Canis lupus familiaris: one gene and its partner. Each later gene encodes a partner of the first gene's protein in a complex. Links are inferred from orthologs where the notes say so. Each region holds a gene or a part of one and is shown on either strand. Other genes may lie near its edges.

Region 1 (15,671 bases):
CTCGCCCTCAGACTCAGCCTCCTCTCCTGGGGTCCCACTCAAACTCTCTCCATCAGGCTTCCTGAGAACCACCCCTCTCCGGCCAAGTTACCGCAGGCTTCCTCAGAAGACCCCCGCTCGGCCTCAGCCTCTTCCCTCAGCCTCGACTTCCTTTCCTTTCCTCTGAGCCTCCTCCCTCAGCCTCCACCTCCTGCTCTCAGCCTCCTCCCCCTGCCTCCTCCCTCCCCCTGCCCTCTTTCCTGAGCCTCCTCCCTCAGCCTCGACCTCTTTCCTCTCAGCCTCTTCCCTCTGAGCCTCCTCTCTCAGCCTCGTCCTCCTCGCAGCCTCCTCTTTTCAGCCTTTCCCCAACGCCTCAGCCTCTCCCAGCCTCCCCACTCGCATCTCCTCAGCCTCCCTCTCCCGGCCCCGGCCCGGCCCCGGCCCGGCCCCGCCCCCGCCGCGCGCACGGTGCTCACCGTCGTAGTAGTAACAGACTTTCCTCCTGGTGCCCTGAGTCTGCGCCATCTTGCTCGCCTCCCGTCCCTCCCGTCAGTCGGTCCGTCCGGCCTCCCGCCCGCGGCTCCGCTCGGCGTCCGACCCAGGGGGGGAGGGGGCGGGCCTCCCGCCCGCTCCGCCCGTCCCCTCCCGGGCTCACCTATAGCCGCGCAGCCCGGGCACGGCTCCAGCCAATCAGCTCGCGCAGGGACGGCCCGGAACTCGGCAGGGGGCAAGGGCAGCCCTGAGAGGCAGCCGAGGGCCCCCTGGGCCTGTACCAAGGTCTGCGACAGGGGGGTGGGGGAGCTGCCCGGGGACCGTACCATTAGTCCCGGGGGAAGAAAACGGATCCGTACACTTCGCTGTCCGGTTTCGGTGTTGGAAGTGCGCTGGGAGACCAGAAGCCAGCTTTGTCGTTTTATGGAGAATCAACTGAAGCCTGCGGGGAGGAAAGTGACTTGCACAAGGTCACTCAGCTAAGGACCGGGCTGAACCTGGCTTGGAGCCTGAGTTTGGAAGAAGGAGAAATCAACTTGACAAAGGAAAGAAAGCTGCTGTGGACCAAGTGCTGTGCAACCCCTTTACCGACGTTTATCTCAACGATTGCTCACAAAAGCTTTGGAAGAGGCTTTTTATTCCCGTTTTATGGATAAGGATAATGAACTTCAGACCTTTGTGACTTGCTCAGAGCCACACAATTAGGAATTAAATTCACCTTTCACTAGTACAGATTTTCTGAATTCCTGCTGTGCACCGGAGACACTGTAGGGAAGGGGCCGAACCCAGCCTTTCTTACCTCCAAAGCGGGGCCTCCCTGATGCTGTCACCCGCGAGCACTGAAGAGTGCCTTTACATAGGAGGACACTGATTGTCCCCTTCTACTAGGGCAGGGTTTCTGAACCTATTGAAGCTATTGACATTTGGAACTGGATAATTCCTTACTGTAAGGGGCTCTCTTGTGCATTGTGTAGGATGTTTAGCAGCATCTTTGGCCTTTACTCATTAGATGCCAATAGCACCCTCCACTCCCACCCTCAGCTGTGGTCACCAAAATTGTTTCCAGACATTGCATAACTGTTTCCATGGCAAGACAGGAGTGTAAAATTGCCCCCACCCTAACTTTGAGGACCACTGAACTTATTTATCAATCATCAACTGTTCATTATTGAAATCTGAAAAACTGAAAAGCACTGTGATGGGCTATTAAAATAATAAAATACAACAGTATTAATATTTAGTGAGTACTTACTATTTGTGTGCCAAGTAAGTTACAAACTCATGGTCCTATAGTTGATAAGATACATTTTTATGCCTCTACAATTTATTTATTTATTAATTAGGCTCCACACCCTGAGTGGAACCCATCTGGAGGCTTGAACTCATGATCCTGAGATGAAGACCTGAACTGAGATCAAGTGTTGGATGTTTAACCAACTGAGTCACCCAGGTAACCCTATGCCTGTACAATTTAAAGAGTGCTTGGGCACTTAGACACTTGTGTTCCTCATTTGAGAACTGCATTTGGGCCACTCATTATAAAAGTAATAGAAGAGGGGCGCCTGGGTGGCTCAGTGGTTGAGCATCTGCCTTTGGCTCAGGTCGTGATCCCCAGGTCCTGGAATCAAGTCCTGCATCCGGCTCTGTGCAGGGAGCCTGCTTTTCCCTCTGCCTATGTCTCTGCCTCTCTCTGCATGTCTCTCATGGATAAATAAATAAAATCTTAAAAAAATAAAAGTAACAGAAAATTTAAGATTTATAGAAACAGCTAAAGGAAGAGAGAGGGAGAGAGAGAGAGAGAGAAAGAAAGAAAACAGCTAAAGAGCCAGGGAATCCCTTTTTCCAGCTCTGTGTTGCTGCTTCCTGGCTAGAACCTTTCTGGCCCTCACTTCCCTCTTTGTAAAATGCAGAGGATAAGAATTCAAAGTTCACTAACTCTATGCTGCACACAGTATCCAAAAGAAGAGGAGGGTGGGGATCAGATGAGGTCATGGGTGTGGCAGCATTTTATAAAATGCAGAACAGGAATCAGAACCTCAGATCTTTATAGAGGTGAGGCAGGTGGTATAAAAATAAGTGGATTTATATTAGTTTGATTCAGGTGCTTTGCATATTTCTAAAATTGGATTCTTTTCACTTTCATAAAGCAAAATGCCTTTCCCCCATCTTTCCTCAAACACACTGCCATCTGCAGGTACCTTTCATTTTCTCACTTTTTATTGGAAATAGAGGTGAAAAACATTTCATTTTCCTCTTCATTATGAGAACAACAGTGCAAGCATGATGATAACCACTGACACTCAGTTTCAACTGTTTGGCAAAGGGACTCTAGCAAAAGAAGACCCTGGCAAAGGAAGAGCTTAAGCCCTACGTGAAGGTGGTGGCCACTAATCAGCTCCATGAGGACAGGTAAGCCCAATGAAGCCAAATCTTCAAGACTTTTTTTCCAAGAGAAGACAGAAACCTGTAGTTTTATCCAAAATCTCCCCAGTTTTTTTTTTTAAATCTCCCCAGTTTTATAAATTGACTGCTAACTCACTCTGTTCACATTCAAGACAGTAATAAGAGGTATTCTTTTAAAATGTAAGTCAAGGGGGCAGCCCCCATGGCGCAGCGGTTTAGCGCCGCCTGCAGCCTGGGGTGTGATCCTGGAGACCTGGAATCCAGTCCCCCGTCGGGAGCCTGCTTCTCCCTCTGCTTGTGTCTCTGCCTCTCTGTCTCTCTCTCTCCGTCTCTCATGAGTAAATAAGTAAATAAAATAAAATGTAAGTCAGGTCATAGGGTGCCTGGATGGCTCAGTCCGTTAAGCTTCTGACTCGATTTCGGATCAGGTCATGATCTCAGGGTTGTGAGATAGAGCCCTGTGTCGGCGTCTGCGTTGGGCTGCGTTGGGCGGGGAGCCTTAAGATTCTCTCTCCCTCCCCCTCCACCCCTGCCCCACTCCTGTGCCAGCACATGCTCTCTTCTTCTTTCAAAAAAAAAAAAAAAAAAAAAAAGGCTTAAGAAAAGTAAGTCGGGTCTTGTCATGGCTCTGCAAAAATCTCCACAAAGTCTTCTTGAAATGGTTTCTGCAAAGGCCACAAGGCACCACAGGATCTCTACCCCTCAGGCCCCCCGTCAAGACCTATGTCTCTGTGCTTGCCAAAGGAGCTCTGCCTCAGGCGGTTCCCTCAGCCTGGCCTCTCCTCCCCCATACCACGTGGCTTGCTCCTTCATCTCCTTCAAATATTTGCTTAAGTCACCTTCTCAATAAGACCTTCCCAGACCACCCTGCTTAAAATTGCAAACCTCCCCCAAATACGACATTCCTAATTCCCCTTACCCTGCTTTATTTTCCCCTTAGCACTCAGCACCTTGTTGTGTACTGTATCATTTACTTCTTTGTAACATTTATTGTCTGTATTCCCTAACTACATTTATTGTCTGTCCTACTGTATGTAAGCTCCATAAGGACAGAGATTTTTTTTTAATCTATTATATATTTTATGAACCCAGAACCATCCCTAACACATGGTAGATGTTCAATAAATATTTGCCAAGGCATGCCTGGGTGGCACAGTTGGTTAAGCGTCTGACTTTTGGTTTTGGCCCAGTTTGTGACCTCAGGGAGGTCCTGGCATGAAGCCTCATGTCAGGCTCTGCACTCAGCATGGAGTCTGCTTGAGATGACCTCTCCTTCTCCCTTCCCCTGCACTTGCCCTCTCTCTCTCTCAAATAAATAAATATATCACAAATAAGTATTTGCCAAAGAATGGATTAATTCAATGTTTAAAAACATCTTGTGGGGGGGCGGTCAGTTGGTTAAGCATCTGCCTATGGCTCAGGTCATGATCTCAGAGTCTTGGGAATGAGACCAGCATCAGGCTCCCTGCTGAGTGGGGAGTCTGTTTCTCCCTCTCCCTCTGTCCCTCCCTCTGCTTGTTCTCTCTCTCCTCCTGCTCTCAAAACAAAACAAAACAAAACAAAACCAACTACACATCTTAGGGGCACCTGGCTCTCTCAGTCAGTAGAGTATGTGACTCTTGATCTCAGGATTGTGGGTTTGAGCCCCACACTGGGAGTAGAAATTACTTTAAAATATTTAAAAACATCTTGAAGCTGAATCAAAACATACCTGAGTACAAATATAGCCCCAGAATCAGTAGCTGTAAAAAATGCTATTGCCCTTACATAATGAGAAGGGAGGATCCTGGGACACACCAATTCCTTAGGAGGTTCTGAAAAGGTCACCCTTAAGCCTTTGGGGTAGGGGTATGAAGGAGTTCAAAGAACCCATTCAGGGGATCCCTGGGTGGCGCAGCGGTTTGGCGCCTGCCTTTGGCCCAGGGCGCGATCCTGGAGACCCAGGATCGAATCCCACGTCGGGCTCCCGGTGCATGGAGCCTGTTTCTCTCTCTGCCTGTGTCTCTGCCTCTCTCTCTCTCTGTGTGACTATCATAAGTAAAAAAAAAAAAAAAAAGACAAAGAACCCATTCAGCAAACTGTAGGAGTTTCCTTTTGGAACCCCAAATCAACAGAACTGGAAAAAGCTCAGACATCCCCCCTCATCCCATCTTTCACCCCAATTCAGAGTGACTTATTTTCCGTCTTCTGAACCCCTACTCCCCCCTCCCAAGGAAGAGGAGATGGGAGTGGAGAACTGAGAGATATACAGTCCTCATCAAAAGAGTCATTTATTGAGCTCCTAATGTGTGCCAGGCACCAAGGAGGAGCACACAGAGGTATCAAATAAGGCCCCAGCCTCAAGGAACTTCTTGATGGAAAGGGAAAAGGGGGCAGACAGAAGCTGGTGTCAATCACAGGTGTCTCTCTTCTCTCTGGTGGTCTTAGGAAGTAGAAGGGCCCATAAGGGGACAACTTGAACAGGTGTCCAAGACATATATACACATGCCACACATCTATAGGACACATGCAGAGCCCATACAACTATAGAACCCCTGTATAAGACACAAGAAGTGTACGTGCCACCGTGGGTGGAATTCACACACAGAGTCCAGATGTGCATAGGCTACATGGGTATGACACAAGAACTGATTCTCCCCCAGCCAGGTTTGCTAGATGGAGGGAAGAGTCCAGGCCCCTAAGTCTCTCAGGGCTGGGGCTGGTACTGGCCCTCTGTGGCTGTGAAGAAGTCCTCCAGCACACTACGCAGGTAGTCAAAGGTTGGCCGATCCTCTGGGCGCTCCTTCCAACACAGCATCATGAGTTGGTATAGCTCCTCTGGACAGTTGTCAGGTCGCACCATGCGGTAGCCTCGTTCCAGGTTCTGAATCACCTCAGGATTGGTCATCCCTAGAGGTTGATGGGTTCAGAAACAGTATCAAGGGTCCAGGCTTTGGAAACCCACAGCAGAGGTGATGCTCAGAATATTTAACTGGTACCATGTGAGCACCAATCCAAAAGGATCTTGGTCTTCATCAGTAGTAAGACCATATACTAGGGCACCTGGGTGGCTTAGTGGTTAAGCTCAGGTCGTGATCCTGGAGTCCTAGGATTGAGTCCCACATTGGGCTCCTCGCAGGGAGCCTGCTTCTCCCTCTGCCTATGTCTCTGCCTCTCTCTGTGTCTTTCATGAATAAATAAATAAAATGTTAAAAAAAAAAGTAAGACCATATACTTCAGGTACCTGCCAAATGTCAGTCATGCCACTGGAGTGTCTGCTATGGCTCAAGCACTCAATAACACCTATATGTTCACTGTGAGACCTTGGGTAAGCCATGTCTCCTCTTTGAGCCTCAGTTTTCTCATCTGGAAAATGGATTAAACAGTATCTCCAACCTTATACAGCTGTTATGAAAATTGAATGAGACACTACATATATGGCACCAAGTATAGTGCCTGGAGAGGAGATGCTTCATGAAAAATATCTGTGATTATTATGATTTGGTGGGAAAGATGAGGTGGTCAGGGCTCAGGGCAGTATGGGAGCCACAGACAGCACAGTGGTGAAGCTTCTTGGGTTTGGGGACCAGGCACATGAGATGCTGCATCAAGAAGCCAGATGGGTCCTGGACCTCAGCAGAGCAGACCCTGCATAAGGTAGATTCACCAGGCACCTTCATGACCCAGATTAAATAATTTCAGGATATCCCTTAAAATCAGGATATTAGAGGACACAGACAAGGGAACTAAATGCCCATGGCTAGAGCCAAGGGTGCAAAGTCATAGTCTGCACCCAAACTAAATATAGCCCATAGACATACTTTGGTTTGACCCCTATAGTGTTATCTATCTATCATCTATCTATTTATTCTAAGTAGGCTCCATACCCAGCATGGAGCCCAATGCAGGGCTTGAACTCAAGACCCAAGATCAAGACCTGAGCTGAGATCAAGAGTTGGACACTTAATCAACTGAGCCACCCAAATGCCCCCCTCTTCAATGTTTTTAAATAATTTGAATCAATCATCAATATTTGGATATAGGCAAATTTTCCTAAAATTCCAAGTTTTGGCTTCTCTTAAAAAAGAAAATATCTATTTTGGGGGTTCCTATCTATATCTTAGTAGCAACCATCGTTTTTTTTTTTTTTTTTTTTAAGTAGCAACCATCTTCTGAATAGAGGCAAGTTCACCCAGGTCCCCATTATTCCCCATTGTCTCTCTGACCCTGAAGCCATGTGTCAGTTGCCAATTATCATCATGCTTTCAATGCTTTCTTTTTTAAAAATTATTATTAATTTTAAGTGGGCTCCATGCCCAATGTGGGGCTTGAACTATGACCAATGGATCACAAGTTGCATATAATACTGACTAAACCAGCTAGGTGCTCCATGCTTTTTTTTTTTTTTTTCCTAACAGAGAGATTCTTTATGGGTTTACCTCTATGGGCACAGTGGAGGAGCAGTAATGACCCTTGGCAGGCTGACTAAAGTTCTAGTCCTCGTGCTGCCCTTGGACTCTGGTGGGGCCAATCCCAGGCAGAGAAGGCCTTAAGGCTCTCACCTGGTTCTAAAGTAACTTTACCTAGCTTTGCCCAGTGGCAGTATCATAGCCAATGAGGTTTATCCGAGGTGTGATTATTGCTAAGGTGCCGTTACCTTCCTAGGAGCAAAGTTCTATATATACTGCTCTGGTGATGTGAGAAGCTTCAACAAATCTGCTCCATGACCTCTCTACTCTGTCTTTGTGTCCTATTTCCTTTCCCTAGAGTGTCCTAGAAGTTCCTTTCAAAAAATTCCATCCATCTGGGCTGAATTCAGGGGTAAAGGACTCTGTCCAGAGACTGGAGGAAGGGATGGGAGAGGGTAGGAATTAGTTTATATGTCTCTCACATTCTTTAGATGGTGAGTTTCAGAGGGAAGGCAAGTCAGTGTTTAGTGAGTACCCACTAGAAGTCAAGATCTTTCACAGTCTTGTTTGTTCATATCAGGAAACTGGGGCTCAGAGAGGTAAAGTCACTTGCCCAAAGTGATGATTAATAATAAAACCTAGTGGCACCTGGGTGGCTCAGTCTGTGAAGTGTCTGACTCTTGATTTTGGCACAGGCCATGATCTCAGGGTCGCGAGATTGAGCCCCATGCTCAGAGGGGAGTCTGCTTGAGATTCTCTCTCCTTCTCCCTCTCCCCTCCAACCCTGCTCTCTTTCTTTCTCTGAAATAAATAAATCTTTTAAAAATAATAATAATAAAACCTAACACTCTTGAGTGCTTTGTATGGACCAGGTACTGTTCTAATCTCATAATTTACAGATGGGGAAAGAAAGAGTGATCTGATCAAACCCAAACAGAAAGTTAGCATCAGTGGCAGATCTGGTAATAAAGGCAGGCCTTTTGCCTCCCTAGCCAGATCCTCTTCTACCATCCTAGGCTGCCCATGTCAAAAGTAAAGAGCTGGGATTATTGAAGGAGGAAGGAATTTGAGACAGAGATGGAAGCCAGCCCTGGGAAATGTAGCACCTGACTGGGCATGCTGGAGTCCTGCGTGAATACAGGAAAAGCAGCTAGAAAGATTCAGAATCTGAATCAGGGACAGATGAAGTGAGTGGACAGACACAGATTTGCTGCTCTTCCCCATCACTCTTTCAGTTCCTGCCCTTGGCCCTGACCTGGGTAAGGGATGCGGCCATGGGTGACAATCTCTGTCAGCAGGATCCCAAAAGACCACACGTCCGACTTGATGGTGAATGTCCCGTAGTTAATGGCTTCTGGTGCTGTCCACTTAATGGGAAACTTGGCTCCTGCAGGGAGGCAATGAGGTCACCTGGGTCTGCTTGGCCAGACCCTACAGCCCCCAGACTTCCCTTATATCCCACACCTACCCTCCCTTGCTGTGTACTCGTTGTCCTCGATGAGGCGTGCCAGGCCAAAGTCTGCGATCTTGCAGCTCAGGGTGTCAGACACCAGGATATTGGCAGCCCTCAGGTCACGGTGGATATAATTCCGCTCTTCAATGAATGCCATGCCCTCTGCAATCTGCAGGCCAGGTAAGAGGTCAGCAGTCCTGGGCCAGACATCCTCACCCCAGTGGGCTATGTGCATGCCCAGCCCCTCCCCAATCTGCTTACTTGGGCTGCCATGTCCAAGAGTTTGTTGATAGTCAGCTTGATGCCTGGGGGGGTCTTGAGGAAATCCACCAGGCTCCCTGCAAGTGAAAGCAAAAGTTGCTGACTCAAGCTGCTCTTGGCAGAAAGCTCTCAGACCCTCCTCCCCTAACTGGCTATCTAGAAGCTCTCTGACAAGTGGAAGAAAGAATAATAAGGGGTGAGAATGGAGAAGGGTGCATTTAGGGTGAGGATGCCCAGGATATATAAAGTCTTTTCCTGGGGACTAGGATGGAGCATGCTTGGAGAAGTCTGTAAGCTTCTTGTCACCAATACGGTAGAGCCCAAACTCCTTAGCCAGGTGTCCAAAGCCCTGCATAGGCCATATTGTAGTTTCTTCTCATTCCCCCACTCCTGCCTCTTAACCCACCCTAGACAATTTTGAGATTTTTTTTTCCACATAGACCACTGGGCTCTCACCCCAAGTTTCTTTGTCCCATCTCTGCCTGCTAAAAATTCTACTTTTCTTTCTTTCATGGCCCAGCTAGATTATTCCTCTATGAAGCTTCTCTAGATGTTACCAGGTCTAATAAACTGCATCATAATCTACATTCCCCATGGCATGCTGGAATTTTTTCCTGTACAAAGACTCTGGTTTTCCTGGGGTTTGTGCCACATAACTAAAATGAACTTTTCCTGAAATCTGGAACCTTGTTTTGTCCATTCATACTAAAAGTGCCCAGCCCAAAGTAAGCAGTGATAAATGTGTGCTGAGTGTATTGAATGGAGTATGGAAAGAGGTGCCTGGGGACCTGGGAGGCCATATCTGGTAGCAGAGGATGACTAGGAGAGAAGACCAGGAATGGGAGTTGCTAGAATGGAGCTAGTGACTGCTAGCCCTTCTCAAGAGGTTAGAACCCTGTGTAGGGACGCCTGGGTGGCTCAGAGGTTTAGTGCCTGCCTGCCTTTGGCCCAGGGTGTGATCCTGGAGTCCCAGGATCAAGTTGCACATCGGGCTCCTTGCATGGAGCCTGCTTCTGTCTCTGCCTCTCTCTCTGTGTCTCTCATGAATAAATAAATAAAATCTTAAAAAAAAAAAAAAACCTATGTAAAGGCATTAGCCTAAGTATCCCCACTACAAGTGCTGAATTAGTTGCCAAAGATAAAATGGTCCCCCAGACACAGGCAATATGTGGGCATGTACTGCCATTCCTGCACTGGGGCCATGGCAGATGCTTCTGATCAATCCCAGCACTCATTTCCAATGAGCCTCAGCATCCTCAACACAGAACTCCAAGCAGCTACCAACTGAAGTTGGCCCACATGGTAAAACCTTTTGCTACTACCAGAATCCATTAGCCAATTAAGAGCTTTTTTCCCTTTCTGAAAGAGGGACAGATCTTATACCCCCCAAAAAATCAGAACCAGATGACAAGAACAAACTTACTGAGCAGTTAATATATTGAAGACATTATTTTAACTGCTCTATAGACACTGACTCTTTCATCCTCACGAAGGCCCTATGAGAAAGTTACTACAGTAGTATTATCACCATTTCACAGATGAAGAAACCATAGCAGAGAGCAGTGAAGTGATTGGCCCAAGGCCACACAATTGTGAAGGCAAGATTCTAACACAGGCAGTCAGATTCTAGAGTCCTTAATGATTATTCTGAATTCTTTCTAGAACGGTGAGACTGTTCTAGATTTCTGATGTTATACTTGGGGAAAACGAGCACCAGTAATGGGACAGACTTGGCCTGTGTCACACAGCAAATCAGTGACAAAGCAAGGCCTAGAAACTTCTATCCATCTTCTTAGGGACTCTCAATCTGCCCAAGGGAGGGCAAGGAGCCCACCTAGAACTGAAAAAGAGAGATTTGAGGCAGATCTGACCTCCCAAGAGTCAGGGTCAAAAGGAATAAAGAAACGTGGCAAGAGATCCACATTTGAAATCAAGCATCCCAAGATCAAGGTAGGGCTTTGAAAAAGGCAAACAAGACTCCAGGTCAGGGAAGATGAGAAGTGAAAGCTATTCCAGAGCCTGCCACCTTACGCTGGGCTCCCAGACAGGCTCCGACACCACACTCTCTTCCCATCCCTGGTGTGGTGGTGAGTCTTTAGGGGCCCGGGAAAACTAGAACTCTTGGTGCTAAACCAGGCGAAAAGGTAGATCTCCTCCATCTTCTACCAGGGGCAGAGGGGATGACAACGCCCCCCAGCGGTCGATCACAGTGGCGGCACCCACCGTTCTCCATGTATTCCGTGATGATGTAGATGGGCTCCTGGGTGACCACCGCATAGAGCCGGACCAGCCTCTGGTGCTGCAGCTGCTTCATGAGATTAGCCTCGGCCAGGAAGGCGTCAGGGGACATGCTGCCCTGCTTCAGGCTCTTCACTGCCACCTTTGTGTGCCCGTTGTAGTACCCTGAGGAGGGGAGGGATTGGGGAATCACTCGGAGCCCTAGCACCCAGAGCCAGGTGGCTGCCAGAACCAGGACGTTGTCAGGCCCTCACGACCTCAGCGGACGCGTCCCCATCCCCTCTTCCCCGCAGCCCCGGAGGGCCTCACTCACCCATCCACACCTCCCCGAACTGGCCGGCCCCTAGCCGCTCCACCAGCTTCAGCGTCTCCCTGGGAACCTCCCACTCATCCTCCCACCAAGGCTTCTGGGGCTTCTGGGTCTGGCAGGGGCGACTCAACCGCGTGCACAGCCCGTCCGAAGAATCTGTGAGCACAAGCGAGGGGGTTAGGGCCGTCAATACGGTGGACTCGGGTGTCCCCATCAGTCCCCACTGGGCCAAGTCCCCGTCCCCAGGGGAAATGGACTGGTAGGGGGTGTGTGGGCCTGTCACCCGACACCCGGGCTATCGGGTACCGCAGCTCACCCACTGCGAGTAACGAGTAACGAGGAAGCATACGGAGATGGGTGGAGGGTACCCTGAGAGGGGCTTAGGGAAGGCAGGCTGGTAGGGCACGGGTGAAAGAGCCTCAGGGGCACGTGTGAGGGGCTCCCGCTGGGGCTCACTGGTGTAATGGCGGACCAGCTCGTGCAGGCCAGGGAAGGTGATGCGAGGGGAGATGTAGAAGCCGCCTTTGTCCAGGTTACGGATCTTGTAATGTTTCACCACCTCTCCCTGGTTCTGGTCGAAGTCCCGCACAGACAATGAAAACGATCCTGGACGAAAGAATGGGTGAACGAATGCAAGAGCGGGGGAAGGCAGCCTCCTGCGAGGGGCGACCCTGGCCCGCGTCCCTTCCCTGGGACCGCCTGGCCCCCACCCCCGCCCCGAGGCCCCGCCCCGAGGCCCCGCCCCGAGGCCCCGCCCCGAGGCCCCGCCCCGCCGCTCACCCGCGGTGCTCTCGCTCTCCCGAATCAGGAAGGAGCCGTGGGTGTTCCCGGGCGCCAGGAGCTGCCGTTCCGCGTCCTTGCGGCTCAGGTTCTTGAAGAACCAGCTGCACAAGGCAGAAGCGAAGGCCGTCGTCTGTTTGGCCTGTTCCTCCTCCATCGCCCTCAAGCATCCACCGCCAGCCTAGCACCCCGCCTCTGCTCCCACCCTTCGCCACGAGGAGTGCCCACTTACGGTTCGGGCTCCAGGCTGTTCGCTTTGGCCACGAAATTGAAAGGGATGAAGCCTTCCTGGCCCGTGGTCAAGGACTGCGCCTTCCACCACTCACCGTTCCTGTGCGACAGAGGCAGTCAGTGGGGTCGGCTTGGCCTTGGATTCGGCTGGAAACCTTCAGAGCCCCCAGTTACGCCATGCCACCCCACCCTCCAGCTCAGCACTCTGGAGCCTCCCATTTTGTCCCAAAGGCGCCCTCTGCAAGCCCGTCAGGGACCGCGGTACCGGGGATCCCGGCTCCCTCCCAGAGATCGCGGTACCGGGGATCCCAGCCCCCCCCCAGGGACCGCGGTACCGGGGATCCCGGCTCCCCCTTCCCCAGGGACCGCGGTACCGGGGACCCCGGCTCCCCCTTCCCCAGGGACCGCGGTACCGGGGATCCCAGCTCCACCCCCCCAGGGACCGCGGTACCGGGGATCCCGGCTCCCCCTTCCCCAGGGACCGCGGTACCGGGGACCCCGGCTCCCCCTTCCCCAGGGACCGCGGTACCGGGGATCCCAGCTCCACCCCCCCAGGGACCGCGGTCCTGGGAATCACTGCTCCGTCCCAGGGACCGCGGTCCTGGGGAATCACTGCTCGGTCCCTTGCTCCCGTCGGGCAAGGATGGTGGTGCGGAGGGGGAACTCACCGCTCCAGGATACGGAGCTGTTCACCCTTCTCGAAACCCAAGTCTCCATCGTGAGAGGGCTCATAGCTGTGCAGAGCGATAACCAGGTTGTCTGGAAAGACAGGAGATGTCAGGGAGAACTAGCTTGGACTGTGCTGGCAGTACAGAGTTTAGGAGTTCCAGGGCAGCAGAGACGGGGGGCAAGAGAGGCAAGACAGGAATAGAGAGTGGATACGGAGATGGAGGTGGACAGCCAAGGATCTATCCCTGGCCCTTAACTTTCAGGCCCTTCTGGTTGTGAGGTCACCTTGCAGTGGTGAGGCTGGGGGATTGGAGCCTTCATAGATAACCAGTGGATCCCGCACGTCAGAGCCATTCCGCATGGGCAGCTGTGGGGTGAGGTTCAAAAGTGGGGTCAGAGAACAAGAGACCTGAGTCAGATCCTAGCTCCCCTTCCCACTTCTCCAGCTTGCCTGGATCTTATCCCTGCATTTGCCAACTACTTTGGAGAGTCCCTTCTCCTATCTGGTCCTCCTTTCCTTTCTGTTTTCTATGGTCAGAGGGCCACTCTTTTTTCAGTGATGATCCATTTCTTTCTCCTGGCTGGTATACTCCACCCATCTCCCTCACCAAGTCCCCCATCTTGCCTCTTACCGTGGCCTTGCCATCCAGTGGGACTATGGGGTAATGGCAGTTTTCACATACATCGATGTTTTCCATCCAGTCATCTTCAGGGTTTGAGCTGCAGCTACAGCCCATGGTCCCTGGGTGAATGGAGAGGGGGCTGAAGGGGCTCCCCCAAGATCTACGTCCCCAACATCAGACATCCTAAGACCTGCCCTGGGAATTTCCAGAAGTACCTGAGATTGTCAGGCCTCCCAACCCCCATTCACCAGCCACAGAAAAGCTGAAATGGGTCTGGTGGTGCAGGGCCAGGCCAGGTCAGTGGGAGCTCCCTACTGTTGCTCCCTCTGAACCCCCAGGCCACAAGTAGAGTCACACATGGGCCCCCACTGAACCCTAGGCCCCGCCCTCCCACCTGGGATGGGCAAACCGCCGCAGATACCTTTGTTAGCCTAGTTGCCCACTTCCTGCCTCTCCCCCACCCCTGTCTCTCCTCCCATCCCCCATGTTAGAGGACTACCTACTAGAGATCATACACACTTTCCCAGGCTCTGGGGGAGCCCTAAATTTGGTACTCCCCTACCAGAGAAGTGTGTGTGCCCTACCTTCTAATTACAACTCCCCTCTCTGGCCAAGGAAGCAGAGTAAGAGGTTCCTGCTCTGTAATGTCAGAGGTCAGGCCCCAGCCTCCCCCAGAACAAGTCTCTTTCAGAGAGTTCTCATTCTCACCAGCTGAAAACCCTTCAGTGATGCTATTGGCCATAACTTTTTTATTTGTTTGCTTAAGCAGTGGAAACTTTCTGTCAGCTGAAAATCAAGCAGAACCTCACAGATAAAGCAGGTAAAAATGAGGCTGTTCTGCCTGAAACAGAGTGGAGATGTCATTGTGAAGCCCCTCAGACTCCTGAGACCCCTCCTGCCCTAGGGCTGCTCCTCCGGACTTCTTAGAAAGCACTAGTCCTCAGATACAATTCAATTTACCATTCAAGACCCCCTTTTTAAGTAGGCTCCACGCTAGGCACAGTTCCAATGGCTCCAACGTGAGCCTTAAACACCACCATGAGATCAAGACTGGAGCCAAGATCAAGAGTTAGATGCCTAACCGGCGGAGCCACCCAGGTGCCCCATGACCCCTAAAAATATTTATTGGGGAGCCTCGGTGACTCGGTTAAATTTCTGCCTTCGGCTGAGGTCTTGATCTTGGGGTCCTGGGATGGAGCACCCACCCACCTCGCCCCATGCCCACTTGGGCTCCCTGCTCAGCGGGGAGTCAGCTTCTCCCTCTGCCCTCTCCCAATCATGCTCTCTTTCCTCTTTACTGCTCATAAACAATAAATAAAATCTTTAAAAATAAAATAATAAAAAATAAAGATCTATTTATTCATTCTGGAGAGAGAGCTCACACCCAGGTGGCAGACAGAGAAGGAGAGGCAAGAATCCCAAATAGACCCCCTACCAAGCTCAGAGCCCTCCAGGGCTCAACCCCACAACCCTGAGATCACTACCGGTGCTGAAACCGAGAGTCGGCCGCTCAATCGACAGAGCCACACAGGCATTCCCCCACAAACCTTTATTTATTTTTTATAGATTTTATTTATTCATGAGAGACAGAGAGAGAAAGGCAGAGACACAGGCAGAGGGAGAAGCAGGGTCCATGCAGGGAGCCTGATGTGAGACTCGATCCCAGGACTCCAGGATCACGCCCTGGGCCAAAGGCAGACACTCAACCGCTGAGCCACTGAGGCGTCCCAACACACGAGGCTTAAATATCAAGACCAAATCTACCTCCACACTCAATTCTGCTACACACACATGCATACACTCATACACTCACACACACTCATAGAGCCTTTATTCTGAGCTAC
Region 2 (15,671 bases), on another chromosome or scaffold:
TGAGAACTCCTACCAGTGTCAGCTCTTCTGTATCTCTGACTATAGTACCAAGTGGAGAGAGAAAATAAAATATCTTTTGCATCCTCTTTGCGGCTACCTCTTGAGTCCAAGGGGTTGTTCAATACTGCTAAGAATATTTACTGTTTGTCCTAGCTGAACACTGACAAGGTATTTAAAAGGATTTCTTTTTTTTTTAAGATTTTATTTATTTACTTGAGAGAGAGAGACACAGAGAGCATGAACTGGGGAATGTGCAGAGGGAGAAGCAGACTCCGGGCTGAGTGCAGAGCCTGATGTGGGGCTCCTTTCCGGGACCCTGAGATCATGACCTGAGCTGAAGTCAGATGCTTAACTGACTGAGCCACCCAGGCACCCCTAAAAGGATTTCTTTTAAGTTTTTCAGTCTTCTCTCCCTTATGCTAAAAGGAAACTTTGTGCCCAGAGAAGGTGGGGGAGCGATTTGAAGATAATGTGACTGGATGGCCAGATGGGCTTCTTGCTATCTTTTAGGCTACAGCCCAACTCCTTGGAGAATTGAAAGCAGCTGCCTTTACCTAGAAACAATTCAAAAAACATAAATTTTTTTAAATCAATCCCCAAACCTCCTCTATTTATCTCAAAAGACTTGTAAGTACTGTAAAACTTTTTGGCTCTAAGAAACAAAAATTCTTCTTAAGGGAACTTGCCTTCTTTCCCTGTGCCTTTGAGATGTGTATATCCTATTAGTCTATAAATTTAAGGGAGATAATTCTTCTTATCAGAAGAAAAACAAAAGGGGAGAAATGTTATTTGGGACTTGGACAAATTAAAAATATTGTGTCTTGCCACTAATATCAAGAAAAAGCTTTAGCCATCTGAGCAGGTAATCTTAACTTTTTCCAACTGTTCTTTTATAAGCTAGTAAGTTTTGATTTATCATACCGGTCTCATGGTAGTAATTTAAAAATAAAACCTATAAGGTCTCTGCATCTGTCTATATGTTTACATGAGTCTATATATGTATATATGTGTGTGTGTGTGTGTGTATTACAGATGTGTGGTATTTTCTACCTCCAGATGATATTGTCAAAATTAATTTGTGGGGATCCCTGGGTGGCGCAGCGGTTTGGCGCCTGCCTTTGGCCCAGGGCGCGATCCTGGAGACCCGGGATCGAATCCCACATCGGGCTCCCGGTGCATGGAGCCTGCTTCTCCCTCGGCCTGTGTCTCTGCCTCTCTCTCTCTCTCTCTCTCTCTGTGACTATCATAAATAAATAAAAATTGAAAAAAAAATATTTAAAAAAAAATTAATTTGTGGAAGAACTCTATTTAAATGGGCTAAAGATAATTAAGTGCCTATATGAATCATATATTCATAAAATTCTTAGAAACGTAGTAAAAATGAAACCAAACACTTTTTAGGTTCATGTGATCTGAGGAATCTTTGGTAATTAAAAAAATAGTTTACATTTGTTTGGCTTAATTAAAATAGACATGTCTTTAGAATTCTCAACATTAAAAACAATGCAGATATAGAACTTTTATTATACCTGGGCTTACTAGTCAAATAAGTTCCTGTTATCTCTGTTAAAAAACTTCTCTGTGGGCAGCCCCGGTGATGCAGCGGTTTGGCGCCGCCTGCAGCCTAGGGCTTGATCCTGGAGACCCAAGATCGAGTCCCATGTCAGGCTCTCTGCATGGATCCTGCTTCTCCCTCTGCCTCTGTCCTTGCCTCTCTCTGTGTGTCTCTATGAATAAATAAATAAATAATCTTAAAAAAAACTTACCTGCAAGAAAAAAATAACTTGCCATGATGAAATTTTTATAATTAATCTAAAAATAATAATTGTTGAAAACAAGTAAATAGATAAAAGTGAGATAAAAGTTTTTAGGTGAATTTTTAATGGTTTCCCCCAACCTTTTTAGTAAACTAAGACCTTAAAATTTTGCTAAGTTAAATTAAACAATGGATAGTCTAAATATCTGGATCATTTCTAAATAAGATAAAATGCTGAAACATGAATTACTGAACGTAGGTTTATCCACGTTTGGCTTCCCTTTATAAAGGAACTAAAGATATTTGCATCTACAAGTAAAACATGTTTTGTGCCACATTAAAAAAAATTACTATGAGAAAGCATATGTTTCTAGAAATTATAAAATGTATTTATACATCTGCCAAACCACAGAATGCTAATGTAAAAAATAGTTCATAATTGCTTACTTCATAGTTTCTGCTAGAAATTAAAGGTTTCTATGGGCTGAAAAAGTCTAATATATATATTTTAAACTACTTGAAATAATAAGGGAAACATCTCCATTTACAAGGAAAGTAGGATGTAAGTTTTTGGTAAAAGAAGGTATGGTAGGGATGCCTTGATAACTCGTCAGTTAAGCATCCGAGTCTTGATTTCAGCTCAGGTCTTTTTTTTTTTTTTTTTTTTTTTAAGATTTTATTTATTTATTCATGAGAGAGACAGAGAGAGGCAGAGACACAGACAGAGGAGAAGCAGGCTCCATGCAGGGAGCCTGATGTGGGACTCGATCCTGGGACTCCAGGATCACACCCTAGGCCAAAGGCAGGCGCCAAACCGCTGAGCCACCCAGGGATCCCCTCAGCTCAGGTCTTGATCTCAGGATCATTGAGTTCAGGCCCTGTGATTGATTGATTGATTTAAGATTTTATTTATTTATTTGAGAGAGAGAAGGAGAGAGAGAGAGAAAGCATGAGTTGGGGGGAGTGGCAGAGGAAGCTGCAGACACCCCATTGAACAGGGAGCCAGACATAGGGCTCGATCCCAGAACCCTGGGATCATGACCTGAGCTGAAGGCAGATGGTTTCACCAACTAAGCCACTGAGGATCTAAAAAAAAAAAAAAAAAAAAAAGTATGGTAAAAGAAAAATGAAAATGCTATTTTGTTGAGGGAAGAGAAAATAACTGTCCTAAAGTAAGACTCCAATTGTCATTTTAAAATGTGTTTCAGAGTGCCTAGGTGGCTTAGTTGGTTGAGTATCTGACTTTTGATTTTGGCTCAGGTCATGATCTCAGGGTCATGAGGATGGAACCCCACATCCAGCTCTGTACTGAGCATGGAGCCTGCTTGGGGTTCTTGCCCTCTCCCTCTGCCCCTGCTTGTGCACGCTCTCTCTCTCTCTCAAAAAATAAAATAAAATAAAAATTGTGTCACAGAAATAACCAAACTTCCTTGTCAATTCCATTATAATGAACTTTCATCATGTCTTTAACACTGAGCCTTTTTTAGGAGGCTTTTGTCATTTATTTATTTTTATTTTTATTTTTTTAAAGATTTTATTTATTTATTCATGAGAGACACAGAGAGAGAGAGAGAGAGAGAGAGAGAGAGAGAGGCAGAGACACAGGCAGAGGGAGAAGCAGGCTCCATGCAGGGAGCCCGATGTGGGACTTGATCCCGGGACTCCAGGGGAAGGCAGGTGCTAAACCCTGAGCCACCCAGGGATACCCGTCTTTTGTCATTTATAGATGGTTCATGTTTTACACAGATGCTTTTGCATAAATTCTTACAATACTTCTTCACCAAGAAGATTCATTGAAAGGACTCTGGCAAACACACGGTTCTGATAACTTTAAGATAAAAAAGTGAACTAGGTAAGAATTTCCAGAATTAATGGGGAAAAAACCTGGATTTAAGCAAGAATTAATAACATGGGACTTAATGAGCTGAGGAGGATGATTATAATTTTTATGATTTCTTGCTTGAAACATCGCTCGTTCTTTAATGTTTTATCTTTCCAGACTGAGGAAATTTTTCCTCTTAAGCCATTTATGACTTGTAATGTTAGTAAAATATGACGCCTCTGTGATCAAAAATGAAACATTTACTTTTTCTCCCTATCTGATCCCTCCAAAATTTGAAAACTCTTGAGTATTCTTTTTATGACAAAATAGTTATTTACACAAGTTCAATGAGAATATGTTATCCTTGTAATAGGGCACAAATGGGAACATTGGTTAGATGACAAGGCTTTTTTAAAGATTTTATTTATTTATTCACGAGAGACACACAGAGAGAGGCAGAGACACAGGCAGAGGGAGAAGCAGGCTCCCCCCAGGGAGCCCGAACTGGGACTCCAGGATCAGGCCCTGGACTGAAGGCGGCGCTAAACCGCTGAGCCACCTGGGCTGCCCTATTACCAAGACTTTGACTAGAATGTTTTATTTAAGAGAGATGGGCATAGACCCAGATATGACTAGACAGCTTTGAAGATATAAGGTTAAAAAAAAGAAAGAAGGAAGGAAAGAAAGAAAGAGAAAGAAGAAAGAAAGAAAGAAAGAAAGAAAGAAAGAAAGGAAGGAAGGAAGGAAGGAAGGAAGGAAGGAAGGAAGGAAGGAAGGAAGGAAGGAAGAAAGAAAAAGAAAGAAAGAAAGAAAGAAAGAAAGAAGAAAGAAAGAAAGAAAGAAAGAAAGAAAGAAAGAAAGAAAGAAAGAAAGAAAGAAAGAAAGGTCGACTTCATGGAGCCAATAAAGCCCCTTGGAAAAATTGGCCTGGTACCTTATTCATAAGGTTTCAGCAAAGCAGTCTTTTTTTTTTTCTTTAAAGATTTTATTTATTTATTCATGAGAGACAGAGAGAGAGAGAGAGAGAGGCAGAGACACAGGCAGAGCAGAAGCAGGCTCCCTACAGGGAGCCCAATGTGGGACTTCCCAGGATCAAGCCCTGAGCCAAAGGCAGACGCTCAACCACTGAGCCACCCAGGCATCCCTCCAGCAAAGTAGTAAAAAAAAAAAAAAGTTTATATGGTCAATTACTATTCTTGCTGCACTTATGTAAATAACCAGACCAAGTTTAATGCAAGCAAATTTGTTTTATTGTGATTATCTTTGATAAAAATGGGGATAATTGTAGAGACAAACATTATGTTTGCATCTTTGTCCATGTTAGATTCTAACCCTGTTAGCAGTCTTTGAGTTGTTCTTATATACCTGTATACCAGACTGGGTCCTGAATTCTCCTACTTTCCTCAAATATCTGGCTACAACTCCAAATGAACATTTCTGATTTTCTTTCCTCCTTTTGATCTGGAATCACTAAGAATAAAAACTGCCTTTGAATCTCCTTGGATGGAACTAAACCAGGTCCTCCTTGCTACCTGAATGGCAGCCAAACTCCAGGGACGTGAGCCTTGGGTACATGCCTTACAGCTGAAGAAGTCTCCACCTGCCATCTGGCCCTGTGCACCTCAAAACCTTTAAGCTGGAGACCTCAGAATCAAATTGTCTAAGAAGGGGATCCCTGGGTGGCGCAGCGGTTTGGCGCCTGCCTTTGGCCCAGGGCGCGATCCTGGAGACCTGGGATCGAATCCCACATCAGGCTCCCGGTGCATGGAGCCTGCTTCTCCCTCTGCCTGTGTCTCTGCCTCTCTCTCTCTCTGTGACTATCATAAATAAATAAAAATTTAAAAAAAAAAGATTTAAAAAAAAAAAAAAACAAATTGTCTAAGAAGAGATGTAGCTGACAGTAGATAAATTGCTTCCACCAAAGAAGCTGGATCAAGGCTTCATACTTAAACTGAACATGAAGCTCTTTCTTTTCTCTTTCTTTCCTTCACTCTGGTATTGGCTTGGAAAGATAACACCCTCATCTGTATCTCCCAGGTCGTTACTAAGGGTGGGGTGCAGGGGGTGGGGGTGGGGGTGAAGGTTAACCCTTCAGACTGCTAGATTTGTCACCAAGAAATTTGATCTGTCCATGATGCTAGAGACTTCCCCCTGGTCCATTTCCCTGCCTCTGGTTTACAATCCCAAACCTAGGAAAGGGACACAAGACAAGGGTAATCAGAATAAAACCACCTGTATGGTCTACAGACCCTTACATTTTACTGGTCTCCCTGACTGTCACCTTTCCAGTCCTGAACCACAGACTCAAGCAGGAATTACCAGGAGGCATTCATGATTCAAAATTACCTTGGTAGCTCAGGGCTCCCCTGGCTACTATTAAATGCAAATGAGGCTACAATCAAGAACTTATCCTTAACTCTAGAAAGTATTGCAGATGGGGGCAGCCCAGGTGGCTCAGCAGTTTAGTGCCGCCTTCGGCGCAGGGCGTGGTCCTGGAGACGTGGGAGGGATGAGTCCCGAGTCCACGTGGGGCTCCCTGCATGGAATCTGCTTCTCCCCTCTGCCTGCGTCTCTGCCTCTCTCTCTCTCTCATGAATAAATTTTTTTAAAATCTTAAAAAAAAAAAAAAAAAAGTATTGCAGAACCCACTGCTAAAATAAAAAGTGCCTGGCAAAAATCCTTAGATTCTGGCCAAAGTTATTCCTGATGATAAGACAGACTTTAAATCTCTTTTAGCTGAGCAAGGAGGTGTCTGTGTTGTGGCCAACACCACCTGCTGGGCCTGGATTAACACCTCTGGGGAAGTTGAAACTCCATTACATAAGGCCACTGAACAAGCCTCTTGGTTTGAAAAGTGACTCTTTTAGTGGTGCCTTTCTTTTTAACTTACTTGATTTTTATTGTTTTGGGTTTTAGGGATCATGATTCCAAAGTGCACTCCAAACATTGGGAATTACCCTGCTTATAATGATCACAGTAGTCTATCTGGTGCACTGTATCTTCTCAAAGGCTTTATTTATTTATTTATTTATTTATTTATTTATTTATTTATTTATTTATTTAATTTATTTGAGAGAGAGAGAGAGGGCACAAGCAGGGGGAGGGGCAGAGGAAGAGGGAGAAGCAGACTCCCAGCTAAGAGGTGTGCCCAACCCGACCTGGGGTTCAATCCCAGGACCCCAGGATCATGACCTGAGCTGAAGGCAGATGCCTTCACAGGTGACACTGAGCCACAGGTGGCCCCCTCTCAAAGGCTTTAAATGCATGTTTGCACTTGCTAACCACCAAGCAAATGATCTCCCTAAACCTGGAACATCAGAAAAGGAACAAAAAGACAACCAACTTAAAATTTGTAAGCCTGAAGTTATAACCTGTGAATGTCACAAAGATTGGGGGCGGGGGCGGGGGGTGAGAGGAGTCACAACCTGTGAGTACCAAAGAATCAACAGAAACTTCAAGAATGTTAGAGTAGTAGCTGGGAGTGGCACTAATGCCACTCTATTTTGCTGAAAGATGTAATCAAAAGAGGGGAACTGTTAAAAGAAAGAGCCAACAGGACCAAAATGGAATCAGTTATGCTAACCCCCACATCAGCAAACCAAGACTTAATATCTAACCTAATTGCAGTTTCAGCTTTTCCCAGGAACATAACCTTTAATGAGTTAATCTCGAATTACCTGGTCAGCACTAGTGAGGAAATCTGCCTGACAGACCCCTTCCGTCCCCTTAAGCAGGTGACCTTGCCTGAAACAATGCATTCTTTGCTAATAAACTTCCTTTTCTGCCTTTACAAATCTTTCCTCTCCCCAGCTCTTCGGAGCTCTTTTCTATTTGCTAGACCGGATGCTGCCCAATTTATGAATCACTGAATAAAGCCTATTAGGCCTTCAAATTTACTCAGCTGAACTTTGTTTTTAACCCACTGGGTATCATTTTTATGGTTTTAAATGTTTACCGTGTACCGGTATAATTTTTTTTCAAATCATTTTAACTTTAAAATGAATAAGCTAAAAGTCTACTTATTTAGCAAGCAATTTAGCAGAATGAAATTCTAAGACAAGAAAATCACTTGCAGAGTTTGTGAGAGTGTTTTGAGCTCTATCCAGGGGTGAAAATTACATAATGGGTACCAGGGGCCCACAGGCCAGGGGAGGACCCAGGTTACTTTGATCATAGGGTCCTCTTTATTTTATTTATTTTTAAGATTTTATTTATTTATTCATGAGAGACACATGGAGAGAGGCAGAGACATAGATAGAGGGAGAAGCAGGCTCCCTGTGGGGAACGGGGATGCGAGACTCTATCCCAGGACCCCAGGATCACAACCCAAACCACAGGCAGACAGATGCTCAACCACTAAGCCACCCAGAGGCCCCCATAGGGTCTTCTTTAAATAGCTGTTTGAAGGACAAGACACGGGCAGGCAAAGAGCAGTTAACCTGGTGATTTCTGCTTTGTGTGTCTTTACCAGAAAGAGACCAGGGATTGGGGGTTTTGTAAATTTTAGGGAATGGCTTTGGTTCAGCCCACGGGACACCTGGGTGGCTCAGTGGTTGAGCATCTCCCTTTGGCTCAGGGTATGATTCTGGAGTCCCGGGATCAAGTCCTACATCAGGCTTCCTGCATGGAGCCTGCTTCTCCATCTGTCTATGTCTCTACCTCTCTCTGTGTGTGTCTCTCATGAATAAATAAATAAAATATATTTTAATTAAAAAAAAAAAAGATCCAGCCCAATATTCCCCTTTTTCTTCATGTCCAAACATGAAGAATGGACATGGGTGGGTGTCTGAATTGTAACTCTGGAGGCCCAGCAAGAACCACCTTGCCAAAAACAGAGGACTTTTCTCCCACTGGACAGAGGCAGGAAGAGGAGACATCCATTTTTAACAAAGATAATTTTCTTTTCTTTTCATTCCTTTTCTTTTCTTTTCTTTTTCTTTTTCTTTTTATTTTTTCTTTTCTTTTTTTTTTTTTTTTTTTAACAAAGATGGTTTTCAATACACTGTGGCCAGTTCAGGTTTTTCTGCCCTGAGGATGACTTTCCATGGGAGAGCCTAGGCCTGAAAGTTGAAAGACCAAAGCTCTAGCCCCAGCTCTGCCTCCAATCTAGCACAAACTGAGGCCAGGGACTTCTCCCTGGTAAAATCAAAGTCTTGTACTAGAGCCATATTTCCCAGACTTCAACCGTTCACACATCTTATACATGATTTTGGCCAAATTTACCTATCTTATTAATCTAACATCTTTAAATGCATTCACTTTTTTAGATTAAATAAATCTATCTTAAAAGGAAAGTTGAGGTGGCTCAGTTGGTTAAACATCCTACTCGTTTTTTTTTTAATAAAGATTTTATTTATTTTTTCATTAGAGACACACAGAGAGAGGAAGAGACACGGGCAGAAGAGGAAGCAGACTCCCTGTGGGGAGCCAGATGCCAGACTAGATCCCAGGATCATGGGTTCACGACCTGAGCCAAATACAGACATTCAACCACTGAACCACCCAGGCATCCCAAGGATCCTACTCTTGACTTCACCTCAATTCATGATCTTGGAGTTATGAGATCAAGCCCCACATTGAGCTTTCACACTGAGTGTGGAGCCTACTTAAGATTCTCTCTCTCTCCCTTTCCCTCTGCCCCTCCCATCCCTGTCTCATGCTCTCTCTCTAAAAAATAAAAACAAATAAATAAAAAGAAAGTTTACATCACTATAATAAACAGAAAGTCCATATCATCTGACATAAACAAAAGGCAATTATAAAAAACTAAGAGGGCAGCCCAGGTGGCTCAGCAGTTTAGCGCCACCTTCAGCCCAGGGTGTGATCCTGGAGTACCAGAATTGAGTCCCACATCAGGCTCCCTGCATGGAGCCTTCTCCTCTGCCTGTGTCTCTGTCTCTGTCTCTGTCTCTCTCTCTCTCTCTCTCTCCCCCCTCTCTGTGTCTCTTGTGAATAAATAAATAAAATCTTTAGAAAAAAACTAAGAAACTAAAAATAGTGTTTTATAATTACCACTTAAATTTAACACTTGAACCCAGCAATTAATCTTAATAGCACAAAAAGAATGATAGACATCACATAGCTCCTGATGTGATGAAATTGGTAGTACAAACCACCACTTATGAGGTATTCCTATCAAAAATATTAAATGAAAACTAAATCAAGTCTCTAGTTTAACCACCAATCCATAGGAGGTTCAAAGGACAGAGGAACATGCTAAATAATACCATGGAAATGCAGCCAGCTCCTACTCAAATGTACAAAACTTCACAGGACAATTGCCTGGTTTCTTCAACCAATCAGTGGTAAGGGGAAAAAAGTCTGGGGAGTAAATATAGACATTCAAAGGGACTTAAGGGACATATCAACCAAATACCATGCATAAATTTTTATGCGGATCCTGTTCAAATAAACAAAATGTAAAAATAATATTAGAGGTAGTTGGGAAAATTTGAACACTGGCTGGATATTAATCATCATTAAGGGATTATATTTCATTTTTAATGGATGATAATGATACTGTGGATATGTTTCTTTTTTTTTTTTAAGATTTTATTTATTTATTCATAAGAGACACACAGACAGGCAGAGACACAGGCAGAGGGGGAAGCAGGCTCCTTGTGGGGAGCCTGACGCAAAACTGGTCCCAAGATCCGGAATCATGACCTGAGCCAAAGGCAGATGCTCAACCACGGAGCCACCCAGATGCCCCAAGTTCAATTTCTTTAGTAGAAAGAGCTATTCAAAAATTTTCTGTTTCTTCTTGTGTCAGTTGGTAAATTGTAAATTGTGATTTTCAAGGAATTTTTCCATTTTATATAAATTGTTAAATTTATTAGCTTGCAGATATAATATTTGCATATTATCCTTTTAATGTCTTTATAGTAATATAAAGAAGATATTTTATAGAAATATCTTCATTCTTGATACTCATATTTTGTCTTCTCTCTGTTTCTTGGTAAGTAAAAATGTATCAACATGGGTCTGTCGCAATAATATTCATGAAATCACAGGTTTTATGATAGTTATTTTTCTAATATCTATTAAACTAAGGCCATGAATATTAAAATTCTGAAATTATAATAGACACCAAATGCCATTTCCCAGGCCACCTGCAGTTAGCACAGGGAAACTCTGGACTAGGAGAATGCACCTGAGTTTGTCAACCAGAGCCCTCTGGGATCTCAGAGTTTACCAAGAGCAGAGCTCTGACACCAGGGATGCTCAGTCCATGGTGGTTTCCTCCCTGCATGGGAGCTGGGCCGCCCTACCTACAGTCCAGAAGGAGCCCTGATTTCCCAGAATCTGGACCATGGAAGAATCTCTCCAGTTGAAGTGTATGTTCTTCTTCTGGGAAGTTTGGCAGGGCAGCTCCACTGCATCTCCTGCCTTCCCCAACACCACTTCTCTTACAGGAGTGACCGCTGGGAGCATCACTAGGTAGAAAAGAAGGAAATCAGGCCTCAAGGCTGTTGCTGCTCTGCCTCCACCCCATCTCCCCACCCTGGCATTTACCAGGCAGCCCCTCCTCCCATTGGATCTCCAAATCTGCGCACTCACCCAATTGCAGCATCAGGAGCAGGTGCCTAAAAGCCGCTTCTTGATTCATTGTGGATTCCCTGAGACAGGCAGGGACCTGGGCCTTCCCCCCACACCGCACAAAGTGCAGGGCCTAAGGGAGATACTGATCATTAGTTAGTAGGCATTTACTGAGCCTGGGGTGCAAAGGGACATATGGGGATGGTATGCAATCTCACCCATACAGCCAAGCCAGGGACCTAAATGTGCATACTTCTAAGCAGACATCCACCAGGACACACCACACAATGCTGTGCCCAGGCCATCTAAGTGGAATCAGAAAAGGATTCACAGGGATGCCTGGGTGGCTCAGGGGTTGAGTGTCTGCCTTCGGCTTAGGTGGTGATCCCGGGGTCTGGGATTCAGTCCTGCATCAGGAAGCCTGCTTCTCCCTCTGCCTATGTCTCTGCTTGTGTCATGAATAAATAAAGTAAATTAAATTAAATTTAAAAAATGATTCACAGAGAAGGTGGCAAATTGGTGGAGACTGAGAAGGGGCAGGGGGATGGGGCGTGGCCAGGTCATGAAGGTCCTTGAATGCCATGCTATGATACCGAGCTGTGACCCTAGGCACTACGGAGCCACTCAAGGACTTTATGTCGAGAAGTACATGATTTGATTTGCAGAATGGACCCCTTCAGCTGTTGTGTGAAAGACAAGCTAGAAGAGGCCGAGCGCGCAGGAGGTATGATTGAAATGATCCTGGTGAGAGAAGATAGGCCTGAGCTCAGACAACTCAGAATGATGGAAGTGTAGAAAAACAGACTGCCTTGAGGGCAGGTTTGAGGCAGATTCCCAGGACTTGGGGAGGGCCACACTGTGTGGGGTGAGGAAGAGACGGAGCAGTGGGTAAACTCCCTGCTTGCTCTCAGACGAACCCTGTAAAGCCTCTGAGGGAGAGCAGAAAAACGCTATTTCAGAGTTGGTTTCTGTGAGTTCCGGAGGTGGTTGAGGCTGGGGGGGTGGAGAGAATTTAGAAAAGCTCTGAATGGACCTAGCACAATGGGAGGTTAGAGCAGTGATCCTCCAAGTGTGGTCCTGGATCAGCAGCAGCCTAGGTGTCACCTGTCAACTTGTTGGAAGTGCAAATTCTCAGGCCCTACCCCAGATCTGCTGAATCAGAATCTGGGGGTGGGTCAAGCCTGCTGTGTATTCACAACCCCACCCCCCACCCTGGTGGCTGTCACCAGCTCCAGTTTGCAAACCATGAGTTACAGGGAAAGGAAAGGGGAGGAGCACCCCACCGCTCTGCTGCCCCGCGTCAGAAAGAGTGGCAGGTGGCAGGGCTGTGCCCCGGCTGGGAGTCTGGAGAAGACTCAGGGAGGGAGCTGGTGGGATCTGGGAAGACATCTCAGGCCTGACTGAGAACCTGGACAGGTTGGCCAGAAGGTCAGGGCTTTGTTCTTCAGGCAACTAGGAGAAACTGCTTTTTTTTTTTTTTTTTTTTAAGATTTTATTTATTTAGTCATGAGAGACACGGAAAGAGAGGCAGAGATATCAGTAGAGGATATCTGCTATCCCCATTGAACAGGGAGCCCGATGCAGGACTCGATCCCAGGACCCCGGGATCACGAACTGAGCCAAAGGCAGACACTCAACCACTGAGCCACCCAGGTGCCCCAAAACAGCTGCTTTTTGAGCAGAAATGTGACATGGTCTGTGTAAAGTTTTAGGAAGGGGACCAGATGACACGGAAGAAGTGGAGACTTGAGGAAGGCCACCAGATAATGTCTGGAAGGCAGGCAGGAACAGGGCTCGGATCTCTGAGCTCCAGGCCTCCAGGCCCAGACTGTAAGGAGGCCTCAGAGGGGTGGTTGCCTGGATGGGGGTGGGGAGCAGCATGAACGCCTCTAGAGCTTGGCAAGATGAGGTCCTGCATCCAACCTCGTTTTTCTATCCCCTAGCCTAGTCTTTGTTGTCTGAGCTCTGCAGCTACCTGCCCACTCCTACAGCACCCTGTTGATGCCCTGAGGGCACAACCCACCTTCTGTCTCATGATGTGGTGATTTGGGTTCCCTCCCATCTTCACCCCGGCCCTGAAGCCTGATCTCATTCAGAATGAAGATGATGGTCCAGCCAGTTCTGCCACCAGTGTAGGCCTGGCACCAGCTGGAGCATAGAGAGGGGATTTGGAATGTTTGGTTAAGTTAAACGAAATTGAATTGAATGAAGGAGGAAAAATCACTGATTTCTTTCTGTACTCAACATATTAATTTTGTTACTAGGGATCCCTGGGTGGCGCAGCGGTTTGGCGCCTGCCTTTGGCCCAGGGCGCGATCCTGGAGATCCGGGATCGAATCCCACATCAGGCTCCTGGTGCATGGAGCCTGCTTCTCCCTCTGCCTGTGTCTCTGCCTCTCTCTCTCTCTCTGTGACTATCATAAATAAATAGAAGAAAAAAAAATAATAATAATTCTGTTACTAAAGTGGGTCATTGAGGGACACCTGGGTGGCTAAGTGGTTGAGTGTCTGCCTTCTGTTCAGGGCGTGATCCCAGGGTCCTGGGATAGAGTCCTGCATCAGGCTCCCTACAGGGAGCCTACTTCTCCCTCTGCCTGTCTCTCATGAATAAATAAATAAAATTGTTTAAAAAATAATAAAGTGGGTCATTGAAGTATGTGTACACAGCCAACCCTGGCCTGAATGAAGCCAAGTCATCCCCATCCATGCTGCTTGTTCTTGTGCCCTCTCATCACCACCACCTCTCCCCCACCGCCCCATCCCTGGGCCATTCTCCTACCTCTCTGCCCTGCTCTCTATAAGGAGATTGATTTGGACAGACTTTACCACCCAGGCTCCCTTGCCCTCCTGCTACTAGTTGGGGTTGGCCAGTGGGAAGAACCCACAAGAGGTGGGAGGGGCAGGGAAAGAAGTGGGAGCATTTTTCCTAACTCTCTTCCTAGTCTGGCATGCTTTCTGGCAATAGCTATACTCCTTCCCTCACCCCTTCTTCTCTCCACACCCTGACTGTAGCTCCTTTCAGGTGGCTCAGCTCAAACCCTCACTGGGTTCCGGAAACATCATTCCACCCTTGCCCCTTCAGGACCCTGCCTGCTATTGGTAACATCTGTGTGCCTCCATGAACTGTCTGGTTCCCTCTTCACACCCCTGGGAATAACCTCGTTTCTGCAGTCTCTTGAACCATCCGAGGCAGATTCTGTTTCCTGTTGGGTATTGATCCATGATAGGGCTGTCGTACTCAGATGGGTGCTGGGGACATGCACCTCCTAATGAGATTTGCCGGAAGATTTAAAACAAGACAAAAAAGCCAACTCCACTCACTCCATCTGCCTGAAGGAAGAATGTCCCAGGGCCTAACTCAAGGCAGAGGCTTGACGGAATTTTTTGTTGTTGTTTATTTATTTTTTGAGTAATCTCTACACCCAACATGGGGCTTGAACTCATGACCCTGAGATCACCAGTTGCATGATCTTCCGACTGAGTCAGTCAGGTGCCCCTGATAGAATTGTTTTCTAAACAAGGGAAATAAGAAGTGAAGAAATCATGAGGACTCCGGAAGAGGAGGAAAGAGGCTAGTCATGGGTGCAGTTGTTTACCAGTTAGCATGGGGCGTGGGGAGGGGAGAGACTACGGTACAGCCACCCTTCCATCTGAGAGTGGCTTCCGCTGTCCCCCTATCACAACTCACTGTGTTCTTAGTGAGCAGAGAGTAAAGGAGTCTCCATTTGGAATATCCCTTCCCTGGTGTCCAAATTCTGCATGAATGCCTGGAGAAGGCTAGGAACATTCTTGACCCTTCCCCAAATGGTGGTCATTTCCTTCTTCTTCACGCCATGATCCTGTGGTCTGTGCCAGAGGGCTACTTCCCCACCTCCAGCTCCTTGTACTGCTCCAACTTACCCAGGGTTCAGCTAGGTGGAGGAGGCTATGGGTTTCCATCTGCTGCTTGCTTTGATGACTTGGGCTTCCGCTGCCGCCCCAGAGAGCAGGCTTTTGATTCCCACATCCTCATCCTCCCCAGAGGCACTGTGCCCCAGTACAATAGCATCCTGTACACCATAGCCCCTTGAGAGGGGCTGGGAGGGCTTGCTGGTCCCCCAGGTCCTGGCATCACTCTCTCTCTCTCTCTCTTTCTCTCTCTCTTCTTATTTCTCTGCTCACATCTGGGCATTTCTGTATCCTGTCTTCAACTCCCCACATCTGTAGCTCTCTTCCTCTTGGTCCCACATGCCAGGACCCAATTCTGGCTCTGTCAATCTTGCCTAGAGTGCCCCTGGCCTCTCCCTCTTTTTCATCTCCACCTCCAGCTGCCACTAAGCTCTAGCCCCTTCTTGCCAGTAAATAGGCATCCAGGCTTCTGGCAGGAATGCCAGCTTTCAACAAGCTTTGATGTGAAGGGAGCCTGCAGAGCACAGCCTGGAGCCGAAGGTGGGTGCAAGGGAGATGTCCGCAGGGTGGACCAAGGGAAAAGGACATATTCCAAGAAACACACAGAGGCCCCAAAGGAGGATGAGGAAGGATGGGCCGGAGAGACCCAGAGCAGCTCATTAAAGC

What was found.
Region 2: the proteins of LCK (region 1) and CD4 are in contact, whole or in part, in an NMR structure (PDB 1Q68), measured with the Homo sapiens proteins. The link is inferred for Canis lupus familiaris from reciprocal best matches to the Homo sapiens genes LCK and CD4. Residues at the interface, in NP_001036236.1 of Homo sapiens: Glu15, Ile17, Val19, Cys20, Asn22, Cys23, Tyr25, Pro26, Ile27, Val28; in NP_000607.1 of Homo sapiens: Ala429, Arg431, Ile435, Leu438, Leu439, Lys443, Thr444, Cys445, Gln446, Cys447.

What each region holds. Positions count from the first base shown.
Region 1 is NC_049223.1:68,333,745-68,349,415, forward strand, and holds the end of LCK (tyrosine-protein kinase Lck), read right to left. Parts: intron 14,168-15,671; exon of another isoform or gene 13,947-14,167; 5' UTR 13,942-13,946; coding exon 13,837-13,941; intron 13,572-13,836; coding exon 13,490-13,571; intron 13,295-13,489; coding exon 13,204-13,294; intron 12,636-13,203; coding exon 12,537-12,635; intron 12,409-12,536; coding exon 12,305-12,408; intron 12,131-12,304; coding exon 11,981-12,130; intron 11,681-11,980; coding exon 11,528-11,680; intron 11,380-11,527; coding exon 11,200-11,379; intron 9,054-11,199; coding exon 8,977-9,053; intron 8,885-8,976; coding exon 8,731-8,884; intron 8,650-8,730; coding exon 8,518-8,649; intron 5,764-8,517; coding exon 5,561-5,763; 3' UTR 5,126-5,560; downstream 1-5,125. Other genes in the region: HDAC1 (histone deacetylase 1), read right to left, coding at 635-800. UniProt on the Homo sapiens protein: Non-receptor tyrosine-protein kinase that plays an essential role in the selection and maturation of developing T-cells in the thymus and in the function of mature T-cells. Plays a key role in T-cell antigen receptor (TCR)-linked signal transduction pathways.
Region 2 is NC_049248.1:7,847,342-7,863,012, reverse strand, and holds part of CD4 (T-cell surface glycoprotein CD4 precursor), read right to left. Parts: intron 11,251-15,671; 5' UTR 11,188-11,250; coding exon 11,139-11,187; intron 11,015-11,138; coding exon 10,850-11,014; intron 1-10,849. UniProt on the Homo sapiens protein: Integral membrane glycoprotein that plays an essential role in the immune response and serves multiple functions in responses against both external and internal offenses.